Danio rerio: one gene and its partners. The protein of the gene in region 4 purifies or fractionates together with the protein of the main gene of each other region. This does not show direct contact. Links are inferred from orthologs where the notes say so. Each region holds a gene or a part of one and is shown on either strand. Other genes may lie near its edges. The genes, in order: cep170aa, eci2, ube3a, mapk6 and neurl4.

What was found.
Region 1: the proteins of mapk6 (region 4) and cep170aa purify together in Homo sapiens (affinity purification with mass spectrometry; 3 studies listed by BioGRID and IntAct, with this or other methods). This does not show direct contact. The link is inferred for Danio rerio from reciprocal best matches to the Homo sapiens genes MAPK6 and CEP170.
Region 2: the proteins of mapk6 (region 4) and eci2 purify together in Homo sapiens (affinity purification with mass spectrometry; 3 studies listed by BioGRID and IntAct, with this or other methods). This does not show direct contact. The link is inferred for Danio rerio from reciprocal best matches to the Homo sapiens genes MAPK6 and ECI2.
Region 3: the proteins of mapk6 (region 4) and ube3a purify together in Homo sapiens (affinity purification with mass spectrometry; 3 studies listed by BioGRID and IntAct, with this or other methods). This does not show direct contact. The link is inferred for Danio rerio from reciprocal best matches to the Homo sapiens genes MAPK6 and UBE3A.
Region 5: the proteins of mapk6 (region 4) and neurl4 purify together in Homo sapiens (affinity purification with mass spectrometry; 6 studies listed by BioGRID and IntAct, counting the BioPlex papers as one, with this or other methods). This does not show direct contact. The link is inferred for Danio rerio from reciprocal best matches to the Homo sapiens genes MAPK6 and NEURL4.

The regions. Positions count from the first base shown.
Region 1 is NC_133188.1:11,431,474-11,437,722, forward strand, and holds part of cep170aa (centrosomal protein of 170 kDa), read right to left. Parts: intron 5,109-6,249; coding exon 4,973-5,108; intron 4,753-4,972; coding exon 3,253-4,752; intron 1,523-3,252; coding exon 1,475-1,522; intron 1-1,474.
Region 2 is NC_133199.1:3,106,611-3,113,643, forward strand, and holds the start of eci2 (enoyl-CoA delta isomerase 2), read left to right. Parts: upstream 1-2,702; 5' UTR 2,703-2,931; intron 2,932-4,906; 5' UTR 4,907-5,074; intron 5,075-7,033. UniProt on the Homo sapiens protein: Able to isomerize both 3-cis and 3-trans double bonds into the 2-trans form in a range of enoyl-CoA species. Has a preference for 3-trans substrates.
Region 3 is NC_133181.1:41,320,407-41,327,232, reverse strand, and holds the start of ube3a (ubiquitin-protein ligase E3A), read right to left. Parts: upstream 4,735-6,826; 5' UTR 4,580-4,734; intron 3,671-4,579; 5' UTR 3,589-3,670; coding exon of another isoform or gene 3,587-3,588; intron 25-3,586; coding exon of another isoform or gene 1-24. UniProt on the Homo sapiens protein: E3 ubiquitin-protein ligase which accepts ubiquitin from an E2 ubiquitin-conjugating enzyme in the form of a thioester and transfers it to its substrates.
Region 4 is NC_133193.1:42,125,504-42,131,752, reverse strand, and holds part of mapk6 (mitogen-activated protein kinase 6), read left to right. Parts: intron 1-1,573; exon of another isoform or gene 1,574-1,659; intron 1,660-3,109; 5' UTR 3,110-3,731; coding exon 3,732-4,286; intron 4,287-6,249. UniProt on the Homo sapiens protein: Atypical MAPK protein. Phosphorylates microtubule-associated protein 2 (MAP2) and MAPKAPK5.
Region 5 is NC_133187.1:24,223,207-24,229,455, forward strand, and holds part of neurl4 (neuralized-like protein 4), read right to left. Parts: intron 5,192-6,249; coding exon 4,681-5,191; intron 3,013-4,680; coding exon 2,947-3,012; intron 2,846-2,946; coding exon 2,415-2,845; intron 1-2,414. UniProt on the Homo sapiens protein: Promotes CCP110 ubiquitination and proteasome-dependent degradation. By counteracting accumulation of CP110, maintains normal centriolar homeostasis and preventing formation of ectopic microtubular organizing centers.

The DNA of each region.
Region 1 (6,249 bases), on a different chromosome or scaffold from region 4:
TTTGCTCATTCAATCATTCATTCATTTTTTTTTCGCCTTAGTCCCTTTATTAATCAGGAGTCGCCACAGCGGAATGAATCGTCAACTTATCCAGCATATGTTTTAAGCAGTGGATGCCCTTCCAGCTGCAACCCATCACTGGGAAACATCCATACACTTCCATTCACACACATACATTACGGACAATTAAGCCTACCCAATTCACCTATACTAAATGTCTTTGGACTTGTTGGCGAAACCGGAGCACCTGGAGGAAACTTACGCAAACATGGTGAGAACATGCAAACTCCACACAGAAATGTCAACTGACCCAGCCGGGGCTTGAGCCAGTGACCTTCTGGCTGTAATGATTGTACTACCCACTGCGCCACAGTGCTGCCTTATATTTTTGCTCAATACTTGTTTTTTGTTTGCAAAACTTCCTTATAGTTTGCAAGTATACATGGCCCCAAGATTGACTCCATAACAACCATCTCTAGTGTTTACAGATGATCTTAGGTCAGAGAAGAACAGCCAGACTTATTTGAGCTGATTGAAAGACCACAGTAATTCTTGAAACGACTCTACGACTGAGGTCTACAAAAGATCTTGCGAAACACTGTGCCAAAAAAAAAGATTCAAACTCTTGTTAGTAAGTTGTACCTAGAAAAAGTAGCCAATGAGAGTGTACATTTAAAGCTCATATATCACTACACCGCTGTCTTAATTAGCACTTTATACTATATACTATGACAGTTCCCATAGAAACCTTGTTTTGAATGGGTATAGACCAAAGATCGGTACATTTATCAAAATTAACAGCTTAAACAAATCCCTTAGCACAAAAGTATATTGCGATTGCCCCTGCAGAAATGAAATCTGTTAAAAACAAACAGCAAAGCTCTTCTGACAAGATACCTGTAAAATGTAATGCAAGTGATGAAAAGGACTTTGGATCGATAGTTTTGGTTGTTCAAAAGTTGGCGATGCAAAATAAGGCCCCTTAAAAAACTTTTACTTGTACAATAATGTTTTCTTTCCGTCATGTTATTTTAGCTTTAAGCCACCAGGGGGAATGTGTTTAACTGACCCTCATTTCTTACTGCTCTGTGCTTGCATCAGCATTTGAGAGACAACTTTGCTCCGATTTTGACTGTGTGGCATTAAAGGGCAAACATCTCTATTAACTTTACACATTAAACTTTTCAGAATAAATATGTTGTTACTCGTATGTGGTTGTTAATTATTTTGAAGTGATGATGTGGTTAAAACCTGATATCTAAATGCTTTTAAAGGGAAAGCAAGTTGGCTGAGGTCCTTTCCACCACTGCTGAGTTTTGATTTTTAGAAAAAAGAACACATAAAAAGCAGTTGACACGTTGACTAGAATGACATTTAAAAGCATGCCGGGTATGAGTTTCTTCTGTTTTCACTTTATGAAAACTCAACAACACACACACACACACACACACAGAGCCCAGAGATGGTACAGTACCCATGGGCTCCTCCTCTGCCAGAACACTTTCAGGCTCAAGTTGAGTTTCTGTGCAAAATGGGAATTTATAAATATCACAAGCATGCAGAGACAGACAATTACAGACAAACATGACTAATGACAGCGGTCTAGTCCACATGAAACATCACAAAACTGCACAAGCTAAACTCTACTGAATGCTAAAGGTCTCATTATATACCCAGTTAACACAAGTAGGAAACTAAGCTGGTTTTTATTGCCTGTAAAACATTTATTTTGAAAGCTATAATATTTTCTAAATTGTAGATTTATGCAAAATTACACATTCAAAATTTAAACTATACAGTTGAAGTCAGAATTATTAGCCCCCCTTTGATTTTCTTTTCTTTTTTAAATATTTACCAAATTATATTTAACAGAGCAAAGAAATTTTCATAGTATGTCTGATAATATTTTTTCTTCTGGAAAAAGTCTTATTTGTTTTATTTCGGCTAGAATAAAAGCAGTTTTTTTTGTTTTTTAAGGTCAAATTTATTAGGCCCTTTAAGCTAATTTTGTTTCAATAGTATACAGAACAAACCATCATTATACAAAAACTTGCCTAAATACCCTAACCTGCCTAGTTAACCTAACTAACCTAGCTAAGCATTTAAATGTCACTTTAAGCTGCATAGAAGTGTCTTAAAAAATCTAGTCAAATATTATTTACTGTCATCATGGCAAAGATAAAATAAATCAGTTGTTAGAAATGAGTTATTAAAACTATAATGTTTAGAAATGTGTTGATAAAAATCTTCTCTCCGTTAAAGAGACATTGGGGAAAAAATAAACAGGGGAGCTAATAATTCTGTCTTCAACTGTATGTTCAAAAGTCTGGCCTGTATATTCAGTCCTAACTGGAAACTCTGTATAATGTTCACCTGAACTTGATCAAACTTTCTTTTGGTGTTTTTACATTAAATAAAATGATGAAAAATAAAACTCTACACAGATCATAATGGTATTTTCAAAATTCACCCTATCATTATCTAAAGGTATCTTAATATTCATATTGACTAATTTGTCCACGTTTCTTTTTTTCAGCCATTTTAACTGTTTAAGCCCAACAACGAATGTAAGGATAAACCAACAAACAATAGCTTCATAGGATTTTATGATTGTTTTTTTAAGTATTTTTAATCAAACCATTATAAAAAAGCTAAACTAAAACACAACACACATAGTATTATACATAGATAAGTTATATATTATAGATGGTTAACAAAATATCTGGATCTAATCGACTCACTAATCAACAAGTCAATTGTTATCGTCGTAGCATTCATGCAATACTTTGATTTATCGCCTCAAGCCCTGGTCACACTTTAATTTTCACTCCATAGACTTCCAGTTATAGGTTTGTGACTGCGGCAGACAAGAAACGTAAGCTTGTGCGACAAGTTCCAAATTTTGCTGCATTTGAAAGTTTAAACTTGGTGAACGAACTCTGACCTGCGAAATCGCATCACATGATTGCATTAGACCAATAGAAGATCAAAACGTGACCTCTATACAGAAATTTCAAATATGGACCAATCGCTCGCTTTTATCAACAATGTCTAATCATATTGTTTTACCCCACACCTTTCATAGCGCCGTACGACCGAATTTCGCTAGCACAAACTCTAGTGTGACTGTGGTTTTATGCCATTTTGACCTATGACCTTCCTTCAACTGGCAACTGCTAGGATAAGCAAGCAGAAAACAAATCATTTAGGCAAATGTTTACATGAGTATATTACAATACCATTCCTCCTCACCTGATGGGGTGCTGTTGACTGGGGTTGTCTTCGGCTTGGGGTCTGTTAGCTTGGAGACACTATTAGCCCTCATGCGTGCAGTTAGCTTGTTTTCTGTTGCTGGCTGATTTGTGCTTTTTAGTCCCAGCCTAAGAGCTGTCTCTGCCGACAAGCGTGCCGCTGTAGTCCGACTAACCGTGGCCTCAGAGTCACTCCGTGCTGAAAAAGAGCCCAGTCTGGTGCGCCGGGGTTGTGCTAGCATGTCAATGCGTGACTGTGCCTTTCTTCCTGATGGGGGTTTGGAAGTGGAGCTGGTGGTAGACACCTCTGATGCCACTGAAACCCTGTCTGCATCTGCCAGGTCTGTGTCCGACGTGTCTCCAAGTCGAGCCCTGCGTAACAGGGACGCCCTTGTGGGACGGGGCTGTGGAAGCCCAGCTTGTTTTGCGAGAGCTGCAGTGGTGGTTTGTGGTGTTTTGCTGGGCTTTGAAGACCTTGAGGATTTGCTGGTATCAAGCTTGGACTGCAGAAGGTCATCGGTGGAGGTGAAGTGACCTTTAGTGTGCGAGCGGCTGGAGTACATCTCCTGGTCTGACGATAGGATGTCTGAGATGGCTAATGAGGATGTCTGGTCATCATCAGTGAGATCTTGTGATGGCTGGCGGCCACGTGAGGATGTCTGTACTGAACGCCGACTATCAGAGCGGCTTTCTGTGGTTTTGGTTTTGGTCTTCCTCTCCAGACGTTCTCTGGCACTGGTTGTGGTTTTGGATGCGGTGCTTGCATTGCTCTTTTCTCTGTAAAGGCTACTGAGAGATCTTCGTTTCTGAACCGCCTTACGATCGCCGTCGGCTGCTGTCTGGCTGACTGTGCTGGCCGTGTCGATATCAGATTCAGGAGATAAAGGGCAAGCTGGGGGACATATAGGTGGGGTTATTGGATCCAACTTCTTCTCATCGCGAAGTTTAGCCTCAAGGAAGGCCATGACAGCTTCTGTGTCTTTGAGAAGAGTTGCTGTGTCCATGCTGCCTACGGAGTCGCTTCGTTCTCTTCCACCGTTCTGCCGGTTTATCCGAGGAATCAGTTCAATGGGGACGTTACCGCTGGGCTTCTCAATGGTAAAGCTGCCCTGCCTCACCAGTGGCTTCCCTGATCTCTCGCTGTCACTCCCTTTACTCTTGTCTTCTGATCGTCTCCTGCGACTATCCTCTGATGCTCGTCTCTCTCCGTTTCCCAGGGGGCGCACAGACTTTCCTGCCTTCCCTTCTTGCTGGGCGCTCTTGGATTGGCTAGAAACAACGCTCTTGCTGTTTGTATTGCTGAGGCACTCGCCATCACCTTTATGGTCACCGTGGCTTTCTTTTTCCTGTGGTTCTGTGTCCTGCTTCTCACCGATCTCTGATCTCTTTATTTTCTCATCGGTGGGAAGCTGCGGGAGAGTCCTTCGTTTGCGGTCAGCTTGGCTGGAAGTGGTAGAGCCAGTGCTCTTGATGGAGATGCTGGTCTCAAACGCCTCACCATCTGAAATTGGAAAAAAAAAACATATTATAATTGACACTTATATGCATTTTTTCTATTATTTATACTTATTTAATAAAAACAAAAACAAAAAAAAACAGTTCAACTGAAATTTTCAGAAAAACATTAATATAAAAATATTTAACTGCATGCATTGCTTTTCATAGTATCTTCTAACACTACATTGCTCAATTTAATATTTGATCAAAGTGAAGTAAATTACCTCTCTCTTGATGGACGAAGGCTGGTGGTTCGGCTCCAGATCCCTCTGGGTCTGTCCGTGTTTGATTAGCTGCTAAACTGGCCCACTGTGAAACCCAGCGAGAACTGCCGACTGCAATCGAATCTTCCACAAGTTTCTGCAAATGAAGTAAAGATGTTTCTATTTGTCTGACTGACAGATGTAAATGTTGTCTTTGATACAGTCCCATGAAGAGCTGACGACATGGCTGGATTTTCCAAACAAACTACACAAATAGTGAACATTTACACATTAAAGATGAACAAAAATGGAAATATTTCCCTTTGCATTCTGAGGATCTTTAGATACAGATAACAACCTTGTCAAAAGTATCAGTGAAAACTACAAAAACGCTTAACAATGTCATTTTGCTATGACATGCTACACAACTCTACACATAGTACTGTGGTCTGCCATTTTTTATGCTTGTCAAGAATAAGACACATCCACATGATGTCAACTTCCACAAAATCGACATACTGTATGGTGACATTCTGCTTTGGTGATCACAAGATCTTTTCTAAACCTATTGCCCCCCACTCTCTTCAAGTTTGTTTCCTGTTAGAGCTTAGATCGGGCCCAAAAAATTAAACCCAACCCTACCTGAGCCTGTGCACCATTTGTCCGAGGCTGACCCAGTCCGACACACTCGCTGCAATTATGAGCCCGAACCCGATTTAAACCCGACTATTTTTTAATTTGTGGGCCGTTAACAGGCATTCTCAATTACAAATCTGAGTTGTTTGAACTACATAAATTAGTTTAGATTTATCTATTATTGTGCAACAAGGACGAAGCATGTAAACTGCCTTGTTTGTTTATTCAGAATGGGTCATAGCAAAAGAAGACATTGAAGGCTGACTATCATCCTTTCATCCATCCTTTTACATTGTTTCATGTGACTGTTCCTGTTTAGATACTGTCCTGTCATAATAAAATAATAATATAAAACAAAATAAAATGAACCTTTAAAAAACTGTTGTCTTGTAGTTTACGAAGAGAAAAAAATAAAAAACTATTTTGCATTTTAAGACCATTAATACGCCATTGTTCATTCATTCATTCATTTTCTTGTCGGCTTAGTCCCTTTATTAATCCGGGGTCACCACAGCGGAATGAACCGCCAATTTATCCAGCAAGTTTTTTTTACACAGCGGATGCCCTTCCAGCCGCAACCCATCTCTGGGAAACATACACACACACACACACACACACACATTCACACACACACTCATACACTACGGAGAATTTAGCCTACC
Region 2 (7,033 bases), on a different chromosome or scaffold from region 4:
TAGAAAACTTTTCTGAAGTGACATTATCAAGAAGAAAATCTAAATGTGTGAATACAAAAACCAACCATTTTGAGGGATATAAACAATAACAATGGTACTAATGTTTCCTGCTTTACATTTTCAACTTCTAAGAATACAAAAATGTTGATAATTAATTCTATGATAGCTGTTTTAACGTAAAGATATAATTCAATTGCTTCTTGTTACAGTTATGTAACATAATGATAACAAGCCGGATATGTTCATCACCACATTGAAATAGTCTAAATACCTCAAAATCCTTGTAAGAGTGTGCTTTCATCTACAGTAAAACCACTATAAAGACAACAATAGAAAAACATAAAGACATACAAAGAGTACAGATGTAAACGCTGTATAAATGTTTTCTTCTAAAGTGAGGATTTTTTCTCAGACTCCAGTGTGTAGGTACAGAAATTTCACTTTCATGGTGATTAAATTATTAAATTAAATTATTTTCATTCCATAACTAAACATAAACAGGAGGCTGAGGAAAAACTGATAATTTTAGAAGAAAATGTTAAACAGCACATGGAGGCTTTAGCATCTGTATTCTTTAAATATTCACAAATAACATCATATACACGTTGCATATATTTTATAGGTCATTTTCTATATATGAGCAATCCCAGCATTATGAATGTAATAATTGCAGTAAAAACTGAAAACATAATTCACAGAGAAAGTATGTGTTTAATTATATTGAAACATGTTCATATTTTCCTGAGCAATTAACCACAGGGTTATGGGATCAGAAAAATGTCAATCTATAAAACTTTTTTTATACGTTAAATGAGCATCCAATATGGATGTGACCAAAAATGTCTGCAAGTTAACAGTATACAACACACTTTGTAGAAATTCTGGATTTTGTGGAAATTTTGAATGTGAACTTGTCACTTAGATGACTTTGGTAAATCAAATATAATTGTTTGAAAACAAAGACAGACATTTTTGAGCATTTTTACAATACTATAAAATACAAGCCTACTCAAAAATCCCTGAAAGGGTTTCGCTATTTTAGTAAAAATTTATTTTTTTCACAGCAAGGTTGACATTTGCTTGGAATTGCTCATATCAAACTAAAATCTAAATAATGCAAATTAAGAAAAACAATAACCTATCTATCTATCTATCTATCTATCTATCTATCTATCTATCTATCTATCTATCTATCTATCTTGCAATTGGAAATATAAATGTCAAAATTAAGTGAGTTTCTTCCTTAAAACAAGCTAAACAGTTTGCTTTTGGCAGATTATTTTGCTTGTTTTAGTAAAAAGCTCACATAAAATATATATATATATATTATTTCTAAAAACAAGATCATTTTTGCTTATGTAAAAAATGTTTCTTAATTTAACAATATTTTAAAGATATTCGGACTAGAAACATGACATTAACTCAAAAAAGAGCATTTCTTGCAGTCTATCTAGGAGACATACGTGACCGTTAACAGGTTTCAACCACAACTAATAACACAATGTCAAAATATTAATAAAATATAAAACAATATTTAGCAATCAGTCTTTCTGACAATATATAGCAATTGGTGTACTTGCAAGCAGCTGCGACGGCCGATCCTCAGAGAGAGTCTGCTTCCACTGCAGTCAAAATACTGAAGACGACGACAGGAAATAAGCGAGTAACGAATATGCTTTAAAGAAATATTAAAATTAAGTAAATAATTAACAAAAAAAAGCTAAATAACACACACAAAAATGCTGCAACCATCTTGACTTTAGCCGAGAGTATGACGCTTTGCGATTCGAACGTGTTCTATTTCGGCCGTCAAAATTCTTGGAATGCGTGACGTCAAACAACGGTTCTGCGCTCTTAAAGTGACCAAGTTAATTACAATTTGCGAACTCATTAACTTTTTGTTTTCTGTTATGTTGTCGTGTTAATAGTTTACACAATTATGTGCTTGTGAATAGCATTCGGGGTGTCAATAAATGTGAAATTAAATTAAAAAGTGGATCACACAGCAAGTTGCACAAAAGCAAATGTATCCTCTTTGTAGAAAGCCATAGAGAATACACATAACAGAAATAAACAAATAACATATGCAAATAGTAAACACTGTCAGCGACAAATACAATTTGAGTATAAATATATTAGTTGCAGAATTTAGAAAACTGTATGAAAACCACACAGCGAAATATTTTTTTTCAGAAGTATGCAGAAGGACTTACTTGGTATTTCGGCGCCAGCCCGCTAATCATGGTGGGCGCGTGCGTGTAAAGGCTTTTGTCTCGTTTGTCTACGCTTGAACAACTAAAAGAACGCTGAAGTCTGTTTAACTGATTATATTTTAATGACATTACAACATCGATGCTGTAAAAGAAGCCTTATGAAGTTGAAAAAAGACACATTAGCTCTTCACCTGAGGTTAATCATTATAGTCTATACAGAAAACAGGACATCGTAGCTCAGCATCTTCAAAAACTACACTTAATTTATGTATAAGCTAACTTCACAAGAAAAATGCATACATTTATTGAATAATATTTGTCCTTGTCTTGTTTCAAAAAATTAGGACAACCAAATAAGGTATACTTATATAATAAAGACTGAATAGCAAGTGTAAAATTTAAAATAGCGCGTTTAAAATACAAATATCCTTCCAGAATATATTAGTATCGTAGACTGTGGTAAATATACACAAAGCGATTTTTCGTGTCAGCAGTAGGGGGAGCTGGAGAGACGTCACGGCAGGAGAACAACAGAGGAGAGGTAACGTTAGATTTTCTCTCCAGATATCCATAAACAAAGACATCAGTTTAATCTGACTCCTCCAACATTGCTTTTCAGTGTCTTTAAGGAAATACAGGATTAGCGAAATAAAACTTCAAAATCAAGAAAAATTAAAACACCAGGAGACGGGCTTTATTCATCAGGTGTCTTGATATCGTGAGTCATTTTTTCTTTCTCATTGTTTATTATTTAACAATAGTAAATAATTATTTAACGTTAATACTGTAGTGTTTGAGGTGATTAAAATGCTGCTAATGTTTGAAATACCACATACAATATTCAGCTGAAAAGCCTAGTCTTTGAAGATCAGCAAGAAAGTTTATATGGGTGGAAAATACATTTATTCCCTTCAACAAAGTCACAATATCGGCTATTTAAAGTTATTTTATATAAACAGAAATCATCATAACAGCATGTAAAGTGTCCACGGTTAAATTAACCGTTGGTGAACATAAAATAGCGTTTGTTTTGATGATGTGATAAAATAAAATGTTGATAAATCAGTGTGTAAAATCGAAACAGTTATTGTGGTCTGATTTAATAAGATTAATAAAATAAGAGGTCTTCATACTAAACTGTACTTTAAAAAAACTTAATGGTTTGAATAAATACTGGCAAAGTTTAAAGATTTAAAATGTCTGAAACCGTTGTTTATTTGCTGACTAAACTATTAATAAACTGAATGTCCATCATTTCAAAATGTAATTTAGTCATATTTATTTGCTCTGGGGAAAACAACTAAACGTAAACAAAATATAAAGCTGTTTTGTGGTTTCTGATAAGTGTTATTCAGTATATTGACAAAATTTGCACTAATTATGTGACATTTCAAGCAGCTCCATACTTTTTAGAAAAAATGCCAAGTAATTTTTAAAATGTGTACTTTTACTTTCCCTTGAGTTCATTTTTAGTGCAGTATCTGTACTTTTACTCCACTATTTTCCTTCAACCTGCAGTCACTACTTCATTATTTCTTGTCTATGGAGAATAGATAAATCAGTCCTGTGATTCCCGTCACACATATGGAGTAAATCGCATCATAATGTATTACCTCAAGATATATGCGCTTTACCATTGCAGCAAACTGTTTGGAAGCATTAATAACTAATTAATATCCGTCAATGTCAAATCTAAAATCAACCTCTGATGATGTTACAGCTTGACTTTGTGTGGACGTTACCACTATGACGTCTATCAGGCATTGGATTTTGATTGTCATACCTTACGAATAAATGTCAGTATTTGAGGTCAATATGACTTTGGTTTAAGATGTTGGCTAATATTAACGTCGTATGATGTTGTGTGCCTGCTGGGCAATAACTAAATGTAAATGCATCTGCTTTTCACAGTGTAATACTCACTAAAGTACTTTTGCAAGCTCTACTTTTTACTCAAACTCTGAGTAATGTTTACAACAGATACATTTTCTCTAATATTTTTAGGCAAGCAATGGTACTTTTACTTAAATATGATTTTTCAATACTCTTTCCACAACTGCTCATATCACAGCTTGTCAAGAATCACTGGCTATGACAGCCAAAGTGATGCATATCGTAGAGGTGAGACACTTATATTCAAGCAAGCATTTAATTGGACAGAAAATCTGCTAAATATTTCTTCTAAATGAATATTTTGCCATTGTTTAGCAGCACACTAGCATTCAAATAATCTTAAAACTAACATTCTTATTATAAATGATAAGAAAATTGACCGATTGATCTCATGGACACTTAAAAAAAGACCTGAGGAATAATTTTGAATACATTGTCTGAGGACTCTTATTATTTGTTGCTGACTAATGCTGTTTTTGTGTCTCTTTTGAAAATACTCACCTTCATCTACGTGCACAAATAAGTGGGTTAATATAAACATTGACAGTGATTTTCTACGAAAGAATACCTCTGTGATAGTATTGCTTTATAATGCGAAGAAAGACCTCTTACATGTCAAAAGATCACGGAATATATGAACACCCTGTGATATGTGCAACAGGTAAATCCAAAGCACATCATCTGGTCAGAGGGATTCTTCAGGTTCAGTCCTTGGTCCCCTCTTCTTTTTTATTTACACCAAACAGTTGCTCCTACCATGATGATCCTGATGACATATGATTTGTATTTTTACTTACTAGATGAGCCGATGGTAGCTGCACAGATCTCAGACTGCCTGAAGCACATCTCAGCATTGACGAATCCTGCCAAAGACTGAGCTCCTCATCTTCCCTGAAGTTTCCAGTGTTCTTCAAAAGCATAAATGTGTTCAACAGAAGAAAGTCAAACTGGATTGGAACAAGTGGAGGGTGAGATTTCTTTTTTTTTTTTTTTTGGTTGGGGGGGCGAACAATGCATTTAATAGGTTTAACAAAGGTAGAATATCCTTGCTGTTTGCACATACGACATGAAAGATGGAGTGGTGGAAACATTTGTTCTGAATAAATATACCACAAATGTAAACAAACATTTTATCTGAAGTTGGAGTAAATATTAAAAGTATAGCCTGCTTTCTGAAACTAATTTAAGAACCAAGCAATCATATCAAACACTTTTCTTAACTTCTGAAAACATGCATTAGAGTTGCATTTGTGTTTCTCGTGATCTGTCCAGGAGATGTCAGCATTGCTTACTTTTTTAGATGGATATGTAAAGATCAAGCTGTTTTGGGGACTCTCAAATTGGATTTGGGAGCAAATATTTTGCTTGAAGATCCATCTGTTCATCTATTTTTAAATGGATATCAATTATCTGATTATTATTGTTACACACTGTTGCAGTAATTGATTATTTCAGAGTGATGGCAAGCTTTTTTAGCCCAAAATATTCCCATGTTTAGGTGTTGTATATGCACTGTTGCTAGTAGCTTTATAATAGTAATCTATTCTGTCAGAAATTGACTTTAGTATTGGATCATTTCAGCATTTTAACATTTTTGCTAATTATTTTTTTGCAACACACACTAAAATGATACAAACAAAAAAGTCATGGCAACCAATAGTTTTATGTAACTTTGATATAATAATTAATAAGTCATTTTAACTTTAAGGCAGCAACATTTTGAAAGTGTACTTTATAGTACAAACTCCACATTAATTAGAAATATTAACTGTAAACTAGGAATGCAAAGTATGCAAAAGTCAGATCTGCATTTCCTGAAATATACTCCTTTATTTGATAAAATACACTCTTATCCCACATATATTATACTATATAGCAAGCCATAGTAGGCTAAAATATTAAATGTGTCATTTTAATGGCATTTTCACTCGTACAAACTGATTTAGAGTTATCTATTTTTTACAAAAACAACACAGTAACTGATAATTTTAACATATTTTTATTTTTGACATTTTAATGTAATATTTAAAGTGAAATATGAGCTTAGATTGCAATTTACTTACTAAAATATACCCCTCTCAATGACAAACATCCCAAACTAATCAGAGTGGATTATTTTAAATAATAAAAAATATGAAATGACAAACTGCTGTATTTTATTTTAAAGTAAAACAGATAACTAAAATGTAATTCTTACTAGTAAAATCCAACTAATGTTGGGAACATTTTAAGCCTGAATGGTTTGCCCTATAGCATAATATATGTGAGATGAATAGGAGAGACTGTAGTGTGTCTAGCTTGCTGATAGGGTTTGTGTAAACAACTTAAAAAGAGCCGTAAATATGAGATGAAGTCAAATATATGGTTCATTTGGAAACATGAATCTGTGCCAGCCTTCCACCATGCTCATGATACCACTTAATGGTACATTTAAAACAAAGTCTTATAAATATTTATGCATAGGAGCTATACGTATTTTAACCACATATTAAAGTTTGAATTCTATCTAAGCATGACTATAGTTGGTTTAAACAAACGAGACGAGCAGATTCCAGGTCTGTTTCCAGAGCCTTATTGGGACTGCAGTGATTCCTGCATGCTTCCACAGTGAGTTAATGAAACTGGAGCATCTTTTAAAGGATCCCTATTATGCAAAAAACACTTTTATAAGGGGTTTAGGCACAGTTATGTGGCAACAGTATGTGAATATAGCCAGCACCTAATGGTAAAATGAATTCATTCTATTTTTTATAATCAGATTTGATTAAAACAGACAGCAGAAATGCTTTAATTGGCATTCTCCATTCGTACGTGCCATCAGACGGTGAAAGCCCCACTCATTTGTCAGGATCTCTCCCTCATTAGCATAAACAGCCCTGACTGAAAAGCAGCCGTCTGCCATTAGAATTTTAAAACTACTTAATTTG
Region 3 (6,826 bases), on a different chromosome or scaffold from region 4:
AAATGCTTTGCAGCCGCTCGCTTCCTGTATCAGACATTCAAACAGGACAGCAGTGGGGATTAGTATGGTTTAATCCCAAAATAAGTTCACACCAGTGCAGATATACATGTCTACTAATCAACCATTTTCATTTCCAACAACCGTCAAAATGTGACTGTTGCATGTGCATATGAAAAATCGGCTGCTGTTAAGATGACAAAGAAAGCGAGCAGTATGTCTTCCATTCTTCAAAAGAATTATTCATTTGAAAGAAAGAGATCAAGAAACATCTATAATGCAGCTGCTCATGCAAAATGCTTTATGCATGGACAAAAACATAACATGCACTGATCTGTCATAATGTGCCATAAAAGAAAACATTCAAAGCACATTTATGTATATATATAGTAAATTTGGCAAATTTGTATATAACATCACACAAAACATTGGGGTTTGATAGGTTAATCAAATGTCAGTATTTGTGATAATTTAAAATAAAGGTTCAAGCAAAATCAGTGACTCAAACCTCAATTAAATAAAGTATAATAATACATACACGCACTTACAGAAATCATAATGATGGATTTAAACGGTCACAATGGAAGTAAACAAAGCCCTTGGTTATGTGTCATGCAAAAGCACACAATGCTGATGTCTTATGCATCATTATAAAAGTATATATAATAAGTCTGGGCGATAAAATTGGTATCGGTATTTATTGACCGTACACTATTGTCAATAACAATAAAAAATGCTTTGGTATGAATCGCTATAGTTTTATTAATATGTAGCTGCTGAGTGCAGCCTTGGAAAGAATGCCAACAAGCTAAGGGTGTAAGTTTATCATTTCCAATGGAGGCGTGCTACTTGCACGACGTGCACATGTTGTTTTGTTTACAGAATTTGAGGTTTACTGTATCATTATTATTGACACCTTAAAGTTTGATTTGATTGTTCAGTGTTTACACTTAACTATTACACACTTTGTAAGATTTTATTTGTCAAGTTTAAGAGTCTCTTTAACACTTTTTACACATTTATTTTATTATACAGATATTTTGTTTAAATATTTTTGTTTTTGACTGATAAAATCATTTTCTTTAGCAATTTTGTTAAATTAAAATAAAGTAGTTAAGTAAAAAAAAATCATAATACTCCTAAATTTATTTCTTAATAAATTTATTTCTTAATAAATATCAATACTGAATGACATGAAACATGATATTGTGATACATAACTATATTTTTTGCAATATCGCCCAGCCCTAATATATAACATTAATTGCTTGGCACTGTGTACTGCCAAGTGTCTTACATTTTAAATATTCTTCACTTTTTAACTGACGGATAAGCCAACCAAATGGATAAAAAATACTTTTTAACCAATAATTATTATAATTGCCCTCAAACACACCCCAAATTTGGGTGATGTCTTTCTCCTGCTTATTAAATGGGATTTTTAGCTGAAACCACATTCCCTGGTCAGAAGAAGAACAGGAAGAACTATGGCAGCATCCAAAAGTTTAGGTAGCAGACTGGATATTACAATGCCTTATGAGACAGTGAATCTGGAGGTGGTGTTTCTGCATAAAAGCACCTTGTGAAACTGATTTCAGATAGACTTCTGAGACAGCATTACAATTTAACTAATAGATAGAGCTTTGGTGAATACAATACTAACTTGTTAGAAATGCCATCAAAAGTAGAAACTGTTAGTCGAAAACATACATTTATACTAGAAAAATCTGATAATGCGATATTTAATTTTTCTGCAATGAATATCGGGATATACAGTTTCACAAGATAGTTTGAATAGCTCTTTTTAATGATTTTCTGGGGAGTCTAACAGTATTCAGGTACAGAAATTAAGCAATCTTGAAAAAAAAATAAAATGCTTTTCTTACTTTGTCTCGTTTCTAGTTCAAATATCAAACAATTTTTAGATCAAGTAGAAATAAAGTTTTATTTTCATTTGAACTAGAAACAAGACAAAAATACTAAGAAAGAATTTTTGTTAGTTTTTGCATATATCATATAAATTCCTTATAAATACAGTGACTAAATACAATTCTGTAGTTCCTGCTCAACTATAATTCAGACTTAACATTGCGTATCTTGTGATGTGACTTGTGAATGCACACATTGTGCTAAAACGATATATTGCGCAGCCCTAACTTATACACAAACTGACAGAAAAGTGGAGCTTTAAGATGCCATCTTTATTTTTTAGCTCTCAGAAATGTAAAGCACAGGATTGTGAGATATCGAAGGCAGTGAAGGACGCATACACTGCCCTCAAAATTCAATCAGAAGTAGGTACCTCCTGAGACAGTAGGCGAAGCAAAATTTAGATTTGGACGTGCCCTGATATTTTCCCACCTTAGAATGCTGTCGGATGCAGCTTAAATTAATACCTGTGGCTGGCAATTGATTATTTAAGATGATCAGTCTGTGCAAGAATCTGAGCATTACTTGTGGTCCTGGCAGTGTTAACATTCTTAAGCTCTTTGTTGCATAATGACATGTTTGGGTCAAACTGACACTATTTGTTTACAATGGAAGAGGCATGTGTTGTATTGCTCACAAGAATGGTACATGTAATTATCTTTGATGCTGCAGCCTATATTAAAAAAATTATGATTTCCTTCACGTCCATGATCTTAATAAGGAAGACTGACATTTTACACTGACTGACTGCCAATGTTTAATATGAAAATTATTTTTTGTCAGGACATTTGTGCCCCAGACTGTGCGCCGAATAGGCATGAGATGATAACAGTTTTCAACGTATAGTGTGCTTTGGAAAAGTCAAGGTTTGAAAATCGCCCAAACCTTCTGCTATAACGTTCCTAAGGTATGTGAGAGGTTTTTTTTAACGGTTTTTTAGGACAACAGTATCTCCAGCAGAAAAGATATCCAATGCATTATAAATTATAAAGAAATATGATTTTGAAACTAATGAAGACAGCAGAAGTCTATGGTATATTTGAATGATTTACCCTCACATGTTTACTGCTCCAAAATACTTTAAATGTTTCTCTAAATAAAATGTATTGTGTTCAAAGATGAAAAAAGTTTTTTGTTTTTTACCCAGACATTTAAAAAGAATATTTCTTAGGGTGCTTTCACACCTGCCTTATTTAGTTCGATTGAATCGCACTAGAGTTCGTTTCCCCTTTTGGTACGGTTCGTTTGGGCACCACCCTTAGAGCAGTGATCACGATTTCGTCAAACCGTGATGTTTTTATCCAAGGTTACCATACCGTCAGAATCTTAAAACAGCACATGCCTAGCGCCAAATATGTTCAGGAGTTTGTGCAGAGGTGGTGTATAATTTAATAATGTTCAGTTATCTGCGCTATGCAATAATTTAGCAAAAGATGACATCAATGTATGATAAAGAGCCAATTCTTCGAATCACCAAACACCCCAGTTTCAGCTAAAAATAATCTTAAGAGCTAAAAAAAAAAAAAAACTAAAGTTCTACAAAAGAAAGTCACCCACATTCTGAATATCTAGAGGGCAAGTTAATTAACAGTAAACTTCAATTTTGGGTGAACTAGCCCTTTAGGGAAAAGTATAAGTCAGGTAAAAACAAAGACACTTACATTAGACTTGCTTTAAAGTTTCCAATATCACACTCTTCTACGGCTCTGAACTCAAAGAGACCCAAAGGTTGTCAGGTAGCAATCCTGCAGATGAACAGAAAACATCAATAATTTCACTTTTGCAGCACTGGGAATTATACTAGTGAAAGGGACATTTAAAGAAACTACCACATTATTAACTGCAATTAGTAAGAAAAACATTGGTAAGCACAAACCTAAAGTGAACCACAGGGCAGAAATATCACCATGGACAGCGTCTAAAAACCTAGCAAGCTGACTCCCTAGACAGTATTTGATGTCTAAAAATGTTGCCTGGGTAGTCAGCTCACTGTTTTTTGACATAGTACGTGTGTCTGCAAAAAAAAGGGCAGCGACGTAAACATATACAGACGGCAGCCGCAGAACTAAAAACAAACTGTGTGCTTTCGCAACTGAAGCATCCTGTGTGCCGGTAAACAGTGGTTTACCCGGAGCAGAAGCCGGAGAGGCCGCGGACGGGAAGGCAGGGGGTATGACAGTGCACAAACAACTTCTGCTTTGCACACACACACACACACACAGTCAATGCACTACAGATATCATCCAAACAAACGAACACACCCATAATAGTCATTAATAAAGTCCGCTGAAGATGATGATGATCGGTGCATTTAAAGCAGAGCGGGAACTGCAAATCTTATAACCTTGCAGTAACTGTCATGGGGAGCAATGGCAGGAAAGAGCTGAGTAACTAGTTAGCCTAGCTGCAGCTAACCACAGTTTAACATTTCAGAGACGCATGCTAAATTTACTTAACGCTTATTGCCGCGTATTATAATCGATCACGTATTTAGGATATCGGGATTAACGGTATTTCCCTTGTTTACCAGAAAGCTCCGTCCCTCCCTCCCCGGAGCGGGTTAGCAGCGCGGCTAACTGGCCTAATAGCGCTTCTCGCGGTGCTCCAGGCGCGGTCGGGACAGAAGAAGCGCGATTAAGGTTTTGACAGCTTACTTTTGGAGGTGTTCTGATGCTGACGAATGAATCTGGTCTCTCAACATCACAATCGCTTCTAGTGCGGCGTGTATTCAACTCCAACCCCTCCACAAAATATTCGCGGCCATCTTGATCAACTGAGGCAAACACGGAGAGCGATCCCACAATGCACTGAGGCACGAGGACGACCATCAGTATAAAAACACGGCACAGCGCTCTGGCAGTCAGTCAAGATCCGAACATGTGTGTTGAAATACTTGTTAACACGTTCACTACCATATGCATGAGCCAGATAATAAGTTGTAAATTTTGGTAAAAAAGTAGGATTTTTTTATTTACACATAGATCTCAAACTAGAAACTAGTTATGTTTTTTTTCATCAGCAGAGGGCAGAACCTGAAAGCAAAAATTCAAGAAACCTGATTTGTTTTATCTAAGGTTCATTCCAGTGCTTTTGGGACCAATAGTAGATGTTGAATAATCTCAGTGGTTCAAATTTTTTGAGTCAGTTGACCTGAGAAATTAAGCGATTGATTCTGTACGGTGGGAGTTAAAACACCAGTAGGTGGCGACTGTAAAAAAAAAAAAAACGATAGCTAGGCCATAACTGTAACATTTTATTATTTATTTTATAAGCATAGAGTGCTGCGGGAGGTATGATGTCAAAACACAGAAGACAGTGTTTTTTCATTTGTCCTTGTCAGATTGTCCTACCTCCCATTCAAAAGTAGGTAGCAAATTTTGATGACACAATATGCTACCCATCAGATTTTGCTACCAGCGTAAATTTTAATGGTAGTGGGAGTAGTAAAGCTGTAATATCACCATAACCCACCTAATCCCTTTCCCCAAAGACACATCTATTCAAGTACAGTGTTGGGAGCATAATCTAATGGGATAAAATGTCAGGACAACGTGTACCTTGAAATTTTCTTAATCTGAGGAAAATGTAAGGCTTTGCACTCTTTTGATATGTTTGCTTTACAATGTGCTAAATTTATCAAATTATTGAAAACTATTTCTGCAGCAGGAATGGTTATTTAATAATTCAACTTACTTTAGAAACAATTCTGGTCAAAATTCATGCAGAAACACTGCAGTGCGCTCTTAAAATTAATGTTTTTTGTTTCTATATTCTTTATTGCAGCAATGCCATATTTATACCTTGCAACAACCTGTCCAGTTCTTAAATAAAGCACTTATTTCTTAGTGTGAAGAATATTCTAATGTTCTAAAGAAGCTTTTTCCGGCGGATTTAGCCATGGGCAATATGGACCCCCAACCCCTTATACTATGAATTTTTAAAAAACTATTTTTAAATATGTTTTAAATATCACCTATGATGAAAAGTAAGCTATTTGGAAAGAACCAGGGCTTAATTTGTGCCGGAACACACCAGATCCGGATCCGGACTTGGCACCTCTGAAATCTGATCCGGCACCTCATTTTACTGATTCCCCTCCTTAACCGCCCTCCTGCCCTGTCCGCTGTTCACTTTCTTCCCAACTCTCCAACTCTCTTCACTTAAGTCTGTGACACCCCTCCACCATCCAACACCCTGCCATCTATCCACTTGCGTGCGCGACGCCTCTACAGCTCCGTTGCCCCGATCTGTTCCAGGACCTCACAATTCACAAATTAAGCACTGGACAGAACAATTTTTATGTATAGTGTGTCCACTGTCCTATTCGAGTGGTACAAATCCAACAAGTCTCTTTTTAACATTTTTCTGACGTTAAAATAGGACCCAAACTCCAGTGCTTTTGAGACCTGCCGCAACGTGATGTAGGAATGCGGTTTTTCCCGCCCACCAGATTGATAGCCATGTTTGTATAATAACATGTATACACATGTCCCCGTAACTTTTTTTTTGCAAATAAACTGTGATTAAAGTATTTGTTACAACTCTCTTTTATTGAGTTTTAAAAGTCTTAAACGTTTTTAAAACAGCATCTTTGTAATAATGACAATAAAATCGCTATCTAATTCTTAACCGCTATAATCACCACGGCCGCATCGTGTCAGTAAACACTAAAATCTGTTTATGTATCTGTGTACTGCAAATGGCATTTATGTGCAACTCATCGATTCACAAAGGCTTGAATAAACTCCAACACAAATACATCAAATAAACTTTGAAAATATTTTTGACTAGTGACTTTATTTCAGCTTTTTCCGAGTCTGTCTCTGTCACTGTGCTGTTCATCTGGCATAACGCATGATGTGAAAGCAGACACGCACGTGGGAACGCTGGGCAGGGAGAAG
Region 4 (6,249 bases):
TAGTCCCTTGGGGTCACCACAGTGGATTGAATAGCCAACTATTCCAGCATATGTTTTACACAGCAGATGCCCTTCCAGCTGCAAATCAGTACTGGGAAACACCCATACACACTCATTCACACACATACACAATGGCCAATTTGGTTTATTCACTTCACCTATTGACCATTTCAATGTGAACATTCCCAGTCAAACTATTTCAGAACTGTAACAAGAGGCAATTCAATCATAACTCTTTTTGGATTCTCGGAAGCTATAGAAATTAAATATGTAAAACAGGAAATATGTTGGGACCATTGTTTTAGTCCTCAAAACGGTCTATACCACATGTCATTGGAGGAAACCCACACAAACACGGGGAGAACATGCAAACACCACACAAAAATGCCAACTGACTCAGCCGTGAGTCAAACCAGCGACCTTCTTGCTGTCAGGCGACAGTGCTAACCACCGAGTTACCATGAAAAATATAGATTTATTTAAATGATGTGACAAAGAATAGGCTACATATGCAAGTAATGCAACATTTAAGCTGTGCATTAGTTGTTACTACATTCAGCAGTGATTTTGATTGATTTTCAGAGATGTTTATTTATTCCTGAATTTATTGTAACATTTTAAAGTCCCTGCGTTCTTTTAAAGATGTTGTGGTTATTGCAGTAAATTTTAGTTTAATGTATTTAAATGAAGTAGGCTATTAATAACTGATGATTTTGCTAATTTATTATTGATTTCAGAATTTATTGTACAATAATTAAAAATATTATGGCTTCTGGCAACTGTATATATTTTGTGAATACAATTTTAATTAAAATAAATTTTAAGTAATTTCAATTTAATTATTCTAGTTGAGATCAAGTTTGAATAACTACAAACTTTTCTGATTATTTAATAATTGCAGAATTTATTGTGCAGTAATTTGAAATATTCTGGATCCTGAACACTCAAAAAATATTTTGAATGCTTATTCTAGCCACTTATTTAAAATGAACTGAACCAACTCAATTATTTAGGTTTTTTTTATCGATTTGAGTGGGGTGACATGGAAGGATTGTGTGGAACCCAGCATTATTTACAGTGTATGCTTTGGTTAGTATAAAGATTGATTTAATTAGTTTAAATTAGTTTAAATAACTGCTAATTTTACTAAATTATGTTTTAATTACTGAATTATTTATTCATTAATTTCCTTCGGCTTAGTCCCTGATTATTACAGTGAAATGAACCGCCATTACAGAATTTGTTGTGCAATAATTTCAAATATTCTGTCACATCAACATATCTTTAGTGGTTATTACATTTAATTTAAATGTAATGATTTCGAATAAATTATTAGTATAATTGATTTAATTATTAAATAAAATGTATGACTTTAATATCAATGAATGTGAATGCGGCGCGATTTACATAGCAATAAAAGAAGCGGGATGAGTGCAAGAGCGCTATGAAGTGCCCATGCGCTTCATAGAGCGGGGGATTCACAGATGGAAATAGAAGCACGCATTAATGCGCATGCGTCGCAACGCTTATTCACACTGATCTTCAACATAAGAGCTTCACTCACACACACAGCAGTCTGTAAGGAGAGCGCGCAGGTAGCGCACACAAACCTAGCCCGGAACGGTTAGGAATAAAATATACATGACACCAGCGAGAAGAGTGAGTACATGGCTTGTTTCTTTGCTTTGTATGTAAGCGTGTCTAAAGCGTAAATATGGTCGTTTTGCTGGGTTAAAGGGTTTATTTTAACGGCAAATGGGCGGCTTGATGAAATCTAGCCTCGGCACAATAACCTTCTTTGTTCAGGTAACGCGTCGAAGCGCCGTAAATGCATAAAGAAATGACTGTTAAATCGTTATAATACATTGTTTACTGATATACGAGACATTATAATACTTAAGAAGATTATTTAACTCCTAATAGCTTGTTTAATAATCCTTTGTAAGGCGAATTGGTGTATATGTGAATTCTCCCGCTGTCTTAGAAACAATGTTTGATTTATGCTTACGAACGTTTTGTAGAGTTTGTATATTCGCGGATACTCATATTTTTACTGGGTAATTAATTCAGTTTAGTTGTTTTTGAATTGTGCCAATGTTTCGTCTCTGAGCCGGTTTGGTTTTAGCTTTAGCATGTAGCCGGTAGTAAAATGGAGGACCGAAAATGGCCAATAAACCATATAAACAAGCCGATCAACTGTAAACTTTAACAGAGCAGCAACAAAAGCGAACCGCGTGTGTACAACAACGCCAAGTTATTGTTTGCGTCATTATTGCATTTTTTTCAAAGTTTTTAAGCAAGCCGCTTTAATACCTAATGAATTATTTATATATTTGTTCAGAAATAATCGTAGTAACGTTATATTTACTTTTTGTGTTTGAGATGAGTTGGTAAACCTTGTCAATAAAAGCATTTAAACATGTTTTACTGGTCAATCCATATAACGTTAAGCAACATGATGGGTTTATGTTTATTAATTAAAACGCTTTCACTTTCTCATAGTGTAAACAGGATTAATATGTGTTGATTTAATGTCACTAACGTTACTGGACTGGTTTAAGGTTTGTTGGCTCCCTCTTTTAGTTAACAAAATGGTCGGCCGGTTAGCCATCATTTCCCTCACACACTGCTGCAACGTGGCTGAATCACCAACCTTTGTTTCCACAGACCGGCCGGGTCCCGTGTTAATCCATTACATGTGTGTTATGATCACTGTGGTGCTTTTTACAGTCATGAGGTGGAGAAACGGGAACCCATGACATCAGAAAGTGTAGTGGCGACATGAGCACACACAAACACACACAGGAAACATTGCTCAAGAGGGATGCCATAACCTTGTATGATTTTTTTTTCTTTTAAATCAGTTTCATTCAAAAAGATCAGAACTGAATAAGTGTTGCATTTCATTAAACACTCATGGTCCTTAAAATTAGTATTTTCAGCTTAGATTGTTGCCCTCTATTCAGTGTCCTTTTGAGCTTAAAACAGATCAAATCCATTCTCTTTTATTTGTGTCGTTCAGAATGCACATTTATTGCTTTAGATTTAGATTTGCTATTTTGGCCTATATTACACTCCTAATCTGTTTTGTTTTTGTGCCGTTTTGCAGGGTATCCCGGTGTAAAATGGAGGATAGTTTTGATTGCGACTGCGGTGAGCTGGAGCCGCCTGATCATTGAGAAGGAAGTGTCTTGTTGAGAACATCAAACATTTCAATTTCCCATCATCAGGCATTTTAAAAAGGAACAAGGAAAAACATTACATTTGTCACCAGTTACTAGGACCGTTAATAATAATAATAATGCTGCTGCTCAGGGCCAGTCGTACACTGAAAATTTCTGCACTGTGACAATGGTTTTATTTGTAGAGACTTCAGTTATTTCAGTTTCGTTCAGAGAGATTTGATTGGCCTCCAAATTCATTCCGTTACGCCCTATTAAACATTGAAACAAATCAAATTTCCATTTTAAGTTAAGTTCCCATTAGTCTTGAAAAAGCTGCTGGAAGTGTTGTGGATGATGACCACATATCCTGGCAACATATCCTTATCAGTTCCTATCTCTCAGTATACGCTGTAACAGTAGGTCAGGGGAAAACACTCAAGTCTTACTAGGCTTGAGTGTAGTTTGAGTCAACTTTTTCTAGAAACTCCAAATTGGCTGCATATCAGTTAAAATCAGAAACACTTCCTGCTATAATATCTGCACAGAGCTGCTCTTCTAGATCACAGAATGGCAGAGAAATTTGAAAGCCTTATGAACATTCATGGCTTCGATCTGGGGCCTCGCTACATGGACCTGAAGCCACTTGGCTACGGGGGCAACGGCTTGGTGTTTTCCGCTGTTGATACCGATTGTGACAAGAGGGTTGCTGTTAAAAAGATTGTCTTGACTGACCCACAGAGTGTCAAACATGCGCTGCGTGAAATCAAAATCATCCGCAGGCTTGATCATGACAACATCGTGAAGGTGTTCGAAACTCTGGGGCCCAGTGGCCGGAGGCTCACGGAGGACGTGAGCTCTCTGACAGAGGTCAATTCAGTGTACATCGTCCAGGAGTACATGGAAACTGACCTCTGTAAAGTACTGGAACAGGGCTTGTTGTCTGAGGATCACGCACGGCTGTTCATGTACCAACTGCTCCGGGGACTCAAATACATCCACTCTGCAAACGTGCTTCATCGTGACCTGAAGCCTGCCAACCTCTTTGTCAACACTGAGGACTTGGTTCTAAAAATTGGAGACTTTGGACTCGCCCGGATCATGGACCCCCACTATTCCCATAAGGTATTTATTCTTTTGCTTTCACTTGCTAAGATTTTGCACCTTCAATGTTCTGTTTCATCGTACTGACAACCATCCAGATGGCGTCTTGTTTGGCTGAGACATGAATGAGATTTCATTTCATTCACTGATTCCTTGTATCGCAGGAAGTAAACAGTCCTTGAATTGGCACCTCCGACTTCCTGTTTGTGACGCCCTTTCCTGTATGTTAGCTTTCTGTGTGGTTGCTGTACATCCGGTTGTGTTTTAAAAGGAAGCTGATGGAAAAATATTATGACAAAATTGCACAGCTGTCCCTTTATTGACCTTCTTCTTTTACATGAGAGCGGGTGCAGCCATTAGAACCTCATTGGCTAAAGACTTCCGATCTCATTCGCGTCCATTGATTTTTAGCCATAAAAATTGCTGTTTGATGTTGCAAACTGGTATTTTTTCTTAATATATTTTTTTTTATTTATAATCATAATAAGCACGCTGGGATTTTCAGCAAGTTGTACGACCGGTTTCTGTCCTTTGTCATTCCTAGTCGTTTCCTCCATTGGCAAATTAACCAGAAGTCCTAAAACAATCACAGAAAAGAACGTACTTCCGCAATGCAGGATAAAGTGAATTGAGCCAGAGTGGAATATTTTGGAACATAGGTTGTTTTGACGTGACGTTATTGATAACGCGCAAAATTCAGAAGGAGTGCATGAAGTGATACTTTTACGTAATCGCTATCAGAACATCAAATTATTTGTTTTATGTTCCTTATAATAGTTTAAATCAGCCAAAATAAGAAATGGCGAACAGCTTTTATAGACTGCCAAAAGTTTTAACTCATAAAGCGGAGAAAGTAAACAAACTGGTTAAAAAAACAGAAGAAAATGCGGCATGTTATAAACATTTTTTTAATACATCCATGTGTACAGACTTTTTTTTTTAAGCACGATAATTCATTTGACAGCTTCAATAAAGATTATAAGCAGGCCTAGCTATGTGTATACATGTTATGTTGTATATAAATTAAATGCAAACACCACCCCACTTGTACAAAATCCAGGAGAATATACGTACCCTGCCATGTAATAGCAATGAAATTTCCATCTTCTATTGCAATAATCCATGTCTTTGCTGGCGTTTCATCAGAATTTACAATCTTAATGCTATCATCGAGATGCGCAGCAGTGGTGAATGTTTATTAATTGTAAATTTATCGACAGAACAAAAAAGAAATGCCTTTGTCTTGTAACAAAACTCTAAATTTTTTTTAATTTTAAGCACTTTTTTCCCCCTCTAATAAATATATATTGTAGACTATGCATTTACGCTTTTGTATGCTTTCATCTGTTATTTTGTGATGTCTGCAAGATATCTGCATGTTGAGAAACTATAGTAATAGTGTAGCATAGTAAACTGATAAACTGTAACGTCAGTATAAACTGTGGTGCATTGTGATTATAGCGTAGATAACTGAAGCCTATTGAATAATTTATTAATACAGTTGTGTTGTACCACAGCAACAATAATTACTACAACAGTTTAATACAAGTCATTATAGTATGCTTCCGAACACTATAGTATTCATCATAGTATTTTTTCATAAAACATAATTAACAAGCAAATACATTTTAGTTCAAGAGAAAACAAGATCATCTTCATGATATAAGGGTCATGGCCAACATATGTGCCTATTTTCTGTTTAGATGTCCTTTGACATATGGTATGTATCGCAAAAATAAGGACTGGAAAAATAAGGAAAAATGAGGACCATGTCTCCCATTCATTTTTTATTTATTTTTTTTTTACTTCCTGCCCTCCATCTGAATTTCGCACATCACCAGGACCACGTGACTGAAAACAACCTATTGGGAAATCTAAAAAAGATTGACGTTTTGTTTCCTTTTAATGTGTTTTTCCTTGTTCTTTCGTTCGTTCATTTGTTCAGTTTTGTGTGTGTGTGTGTGTGTGTGTGTGTGGATGATGT
Region 5 (6,249 bases), on a different chromosome or scaffold from region 4:
TTTACTTATACATTTCACATACATATAAAACATACAAAATAAATTTGAAGGCATTTGTCCTTAACTTAAAGGAGATGTTTGTCATAAATACTTAAACACTTAAATGAGAAAATACTGCAGATCAAATATACTATACAAGTATAATTTCAATTAATGGTGATTACCAAATAATCCTAATAAAACATTGCAAAATTAAACATTTACTTTGTTTAAAAAATTAGTTCAACAACTTCAACTAAAAATTAAGATGTTTAATTCTTTTGGCTGATAACTAAATAAAAAAGTAATTATTTACAAAATTATTACCTATAAAGGTGCAGTTTCTCATTGCTTCTTATTGTGGACTTATTGTTTTGCCTAAACCCTCAACATCATCAGGAGCCTCAGGTATTAATTGTGTTTTGACTGTATATATATTTTAATCACTTTCAAAATGCTGGTAGCTATTGATTTGCATTTTACGAGTCACAAAAGACCACCAATTCAGTTTTAAACCATCTTTAAATGTTCTTCTGAAGGTACAAGTCAACTAAATCTTGCACATACAGCCTGAGGGTGAATAATTTAACTTTTCTTTTACTATTTTTTTTTTTGTCTGACCTATCCATTTAAGGCCAAATCCTTCACATTACATTAAAGGGCACCTATTTTACCCCGTTTTCAAAATTTAAGAAAAGTCTTTTGTGTCTCCAGAATCTGTCTGTAAAGTTTCAACTCAAAACAACAATCACATTATTTATTAAAGCTTTCAGAATATTGAAATTTTCTGCTCTGAACACAGCGTAGCTGTTTTTGTTGCCCATGCCTTTAATAGTAGTTATCCCCGCCCACCATTCCCACGTGCCTGTCAGAGTGTGTCTAAGGCCGTACTCACACTAGGTACAGTTGCCTCGAACCGGGCCAAAGCACGCTTGTCCCCCCTCCCGTCTCCCCCGACGGCCCGCACTCACACCACAAATGGGCCTCGGCACGCTTACGTCATAGCTGCTGCGCTGTTCAGTGAGAAGCCCTCTCACTCAGCAGCACAGTGGAGATTTATCTAGTCAGTCGGTTTGATATGCAGTGACATGCAGTCAAATAGTAGTCAACAGATCCGCTACTTTTGGCGCTCATAAACAATCATAATGCTCTCTTGCTGCAGGAATGAGGAGGTCTGCTGAAGGCACGCAACTGTCGTGCTGTGAGGAGTTCTCGTCTTCAATAAACTACGGCAGTTTGTGTTCACTGAACAGTAAGAATGATTAATAAATCCATATGAAACAGCCTCTTAAAAGTCACGTCTCGCTTTCAGTTTCGGGCTTTGGCGCGTTTTGCACTCACACACAAGCGTACCGTGCCAAAGCCCAAGTGAACCGCGCTCAGGCACACCTCTTCCAACCGGGCCAGGGCCGGCCCAGTGAACCGTGCTTGAGCCCGATTCAGCGCACTCACACTTCTCAAACGATCCGGGAAACGGGCCTGGGCATGGTACGGATGGCATAGTGTGAGTAGGCCCTAAATCTCCGCCTCCGCTGCTCCAGATAAACAGCACAGTGACAGACCAGAAGGAAGCAGATCTCACGTAACGTTTGTGTAAAATACTACAGTAAGAACTCACAATGATTATTTGATGTATTTGTTGTGGAGTTTACTCAAACCTCTTTGTGAAGATTAGTCACAAACAATGTCATTACAAAGTTCACGCACATACACACAGACACACACACAACGGACACACAGCATGCACGCAATTAACTAAACACTGATTTTGCTTGCAAATGTGACAGGATACAGGATAATATCCAATGCTGTATGGATATCCCTTAGGTTAATGTACAAAATAAACCTGATTTAACATCCACAAACCCGGATTAAAGCATCTTCTTTTATAATTGTACGAACACGCGGCAGTGGTGATAAAGTAAAGATGGTAAAATCGCTGTAATTCAATACAATACTTTTTTTTTTTTTTGTTTTAAACTTGTAAAATCATTCTTGATCACATTTGATTATGATTGATGATCAGAGAGAGCTGAACAGATCTTTTAATCACGGTTTCTTTGCGCAAGTCCTGTCCTGTTGATATGATTATACACGTTAATATGAAGACATGTTAATACACTGCTGTAAATCAATACGTTGGATGAGGAACAGCACTCTTACAGTACATCACGTTGCAATCAGCCTCAAAATATTAAGGAATTGGATCCTATTTTAACGTCAAAGAAAAAAGAGACTTGTGTTTCTATCACCCCAATATGACTGTGGACACACTATACATACACACAGTTCTGTCCAAACAGCTTACAAAAGATGATTTTCATCATAGGTGCACTTTAAGAATTATTTGACACATTTAATTATATAAAGTTGTCTGCACTAACAATTCTAGTAAACATTACAACTTACACCTGTCTGAATGTAACAAGTCATACCTCAAACATTTCGTTGTGCCTGAGTGGTCGATTGGTCATGACGACTCCATTATTGAACTCATCCAGCGGTCTCCTTCTTTCTGCTGTCTTATTATTGTTGCTCAGTTTGATCAGCGTCCCACATTTCTCATGAAACAGCAGTGCATCATTGGTCGTCATTCCACCAGTGCCCACCCCTAGTCCTGCTGCCCCACCAGCGTTGCCCGCCGGGCTGCTATTGCTGCTACTGCCTCCACCACCACCTCCGCCGCCAATGCCACTGTCACTTCCTGTTCCTCTGCCTCCACCGTTACTTCCTGTGCCGCCCCTTGAGGAGTCAGAACCGCCACCTCCACCCCCAACATTCAAATCCTCTGCCCCGTCATCCTCCGAGCGATACAGAGACACAATGGCATTGTTGAACACATCAAACAACTGATGCTCAGTCAAAACTATGAAAGAGAAAAAGATAGAGCACAAAATACAGTGAAACACAATGACATTGAAGATTATTGATGATTTATAAATAAGAATCCATTTTAATGTGACATACCACTATCAGGCTCAAAGTTATTTGGAAATTTGTCCGGCCGACTGTGCGTCCTTGACACTTCAGGCACTAATGAGAAAAGGGGGAAAAATATTAAAATTGAGACAGTCAAATATTGAAAGTGTACATGATAAATAAAAGTCTTTTAAAAGTAATAAGCGGTTCAGCCAAATTATTTATATACAAGACATTATTACACAGAGCTATTTAAGTTTTCTCATAAAGAATTGTTAAATAAATATTAAATATACAGCTATGGAAAAAACATTTAGACACCACTTGACATTTTTCAGTTTCTCTTGCTATTAGACATACAGTGCTCAGCATAATTGAGTACACCCCATTTAGAAAAAGAATATTTTTCTTCATTTCTCAGTGAATATAGGCAATGTATTTTGGTGCATTTGAACAAAACATTTATTAAACAGATACATTTATTAAAATTATATTTAAGTCACCAAACACTTAAATTCAAGCAAAATATTGCAAAAAAATTACAACCTACAATTTTTTATTATTTTTTTTTTGCTTCTCTTGATTTTTCCTCGTTTTTAAATTTGTATTTAATATTTTTCTATAACATATGAATTTGGGTGTACTGCTTTTGGGGTCATTATCGTATGTTATTTTGTTAGATAAGCTCCAGATTTGGCTTCAATACTGACTAATCTAATGTATATGCACAAATATAATGTTGTATAGCTTCCAATTAAACATATGAATTTAAAAGATAGATTTGTAAGGGGTGTACTTATGTACAGTTGAAGTCAGAATTATTAGCCCCCCCTGTGTATTTTTTCCCTAGTTTCTGTTTAACGGAGAGAAGTTTGTTCCAACACATTTCTAAACATAATAGTTTTAATAACTCATTTCTTATAACTGATTTATTTTATCTTTGCCATGATGTCAGTAAATAATATTATACTACATGTTTTTCAAGACACTTCTATACAGCTTAAAGTGACATTTAAAGGCTTAACTAGGTTAATTAGGTAAACAAGGCATACATCTCCAAAACCTGACAGGAGATCAAATCTAAACTTGTTTTTATTAAAACTAATATAAATATGAATATAATAAATAATACTTTTAATAATAAAAACATTATACAATTGCAAACTGGCATATAGAAAAAGGCATGGAGGGATGAAGAAGGCATGGAGGTAGTGTTTTTATATCCATGTATTCAATAATAATTTTTGTAAAATTTTAATTCTTTTATTCTATTCTAATTTTTCATATGTAAAGATATTTGTGTATTGCTTTCCATCCTGTGTGCATTAAGCAACGTGTAAGCATTTGAACCTACACACGCGTTTAATAAACACTCTCTGCACTCGACTTTAGACCAGCTTTTAGTTGGTTAGTGGCGTGATCTGTTTCAGTTCTTAAAAATAGCAACGTGTCAACAATGCGCCTTAACACACCTCCTTTATAGACCAACACAACCATGAGTCCACAAAGTGGCACAAATGGATTAGCCATTTAAACAATGTGCTGCAAAACATGAAATTTAGGGTTGCGCTAGTCTGAAAATCGCGCCAAACACGTCTTGTGCCTCATTGAGCCGAGTGTAAGATAGGGCCCTTTGTTTTACTCAAACAAAAAACTTTAAATTATAAATCCAAAAAAAAACTGAGACTTTCTCAATGGTCTCTTCCTTTTTTTAATAGCTTTACATACCAGATGTAATGTTACATCATCTCTATCATTCTGTACAGTGTGGTCTAGTTTTACCTTCCTCCGCTGATCCGTTCATCCGCTCTGTAGTAGCAGCAGCTGCAGTCAGTACAGCAGCTCTATCATCATGACTACGACAGGCATCTGCCATAATGGACACTGCCTGCGTCGACACAATCTCATCCTCCACCTCTTCATCCTCGTCACCCTCCATTTCAGATGGCGGTTCACAGGACACCACAGTCACTTGTGTGCACTTCCCATAGAGGTCCACCACAGCCCACAGTCGAGATGGAAGTCCACTAGCAGCAGCGCCGCAGTCCTGCCCATTCACCCACAGGTGTAGCTCTCCTTTCCCATTCCGCTGGATGCCCACACGGTCTCCTTCCCCAAGCTGGTCAAGATCCCGACCGTACTCCTCCAGGACCGAACGGCCATCCTTCAGCACCGAGCAGCCAGACACAATCCACGAGCCACCTTTCAGCCCTGTGGCGCTGCTGGGAAATTCCAGACCGGCTGGGTCCAGCGCCGTCACACCGATTTCTATAGAGCCGCTCCAAGAGTTCACCTAAGGACAAAAATGTCAGTCAGTATTTGTTTTTATTTACAAAACATATAGGCTGAAATGAAGGACATATATTTCATATAATAAAACTACCCCCCCACCCCCCTGTAGTCCAGGGGCCTCATGTATCAACGCTGCGTACGCACAAAAACTTTGCGTACGCCAGGTTTCACGCTCAGAATCGCTCACGTTTGGATTTACTAACAATGAACTGAATGTGGGAATGTGCGCAGCTTCACGGCAGCTTTCTGGCTGGCGTACGCACATTTTTTGTGCGTGTCTGTTTTATTTCCATTGGCGACTCCTAGAGGCAGTTGTGTTAAATTCCTCTCTACAAAGTGTCTGAGCCTTGCAATGGCAGCTGTATGAGACGGGTTCAGCAGGTATATAAGGTTTCCATACCATACAGTTGACCAGCTAAACATTAAAGCACAATTTGCAGTGGTCGCCTGTTTTCCCAATGTAATCTGAGCTATCTACTGCACGCACATTGCTATAAAGACACTATCTGAAGATGAATTTGCATGCGTGAATCAGAAACATTTCCATTCAATAAATGTGCAAATAAAATATGATGTACAAACTTATTAATGATTCCTACTTGTCTTTCTCATGATAAATAGTGGGCAAAATCTGATATGTAGCGGGGGGGAAAAAAGAAGAAAGAGTTCATCAGACGCTGGAATCGAACCGAGTTCATGCTCGAACGTGTCAAAACATGTTGACATGCGTCTTACGAGCTGCGCCACTGAGACTGTTAAGGGCAATGCAACATTTTACACATATAAACCACACTATTTCTTTTTTAATGCACTCAGTACGATGTTCAGACCCAACTGTGTTAACCGCATCAGCTAAACTCTCCCACTCGATTTTTTTCTTTTGTTGTTAATTCCGGAGAACAAACTTGCAAATAACACCGCTTTTCTCCGGTCTACCCCTGGAAGCAGCACCTCCAATTCACATTCTGTTCAAAGTTTCTCTTCTTGCTTGATTTTGCCATTGCTTTTTCGTTGGGTTTTGCCAAAGTAGAGTCATTAGCATATTCATATGGGGGAGGA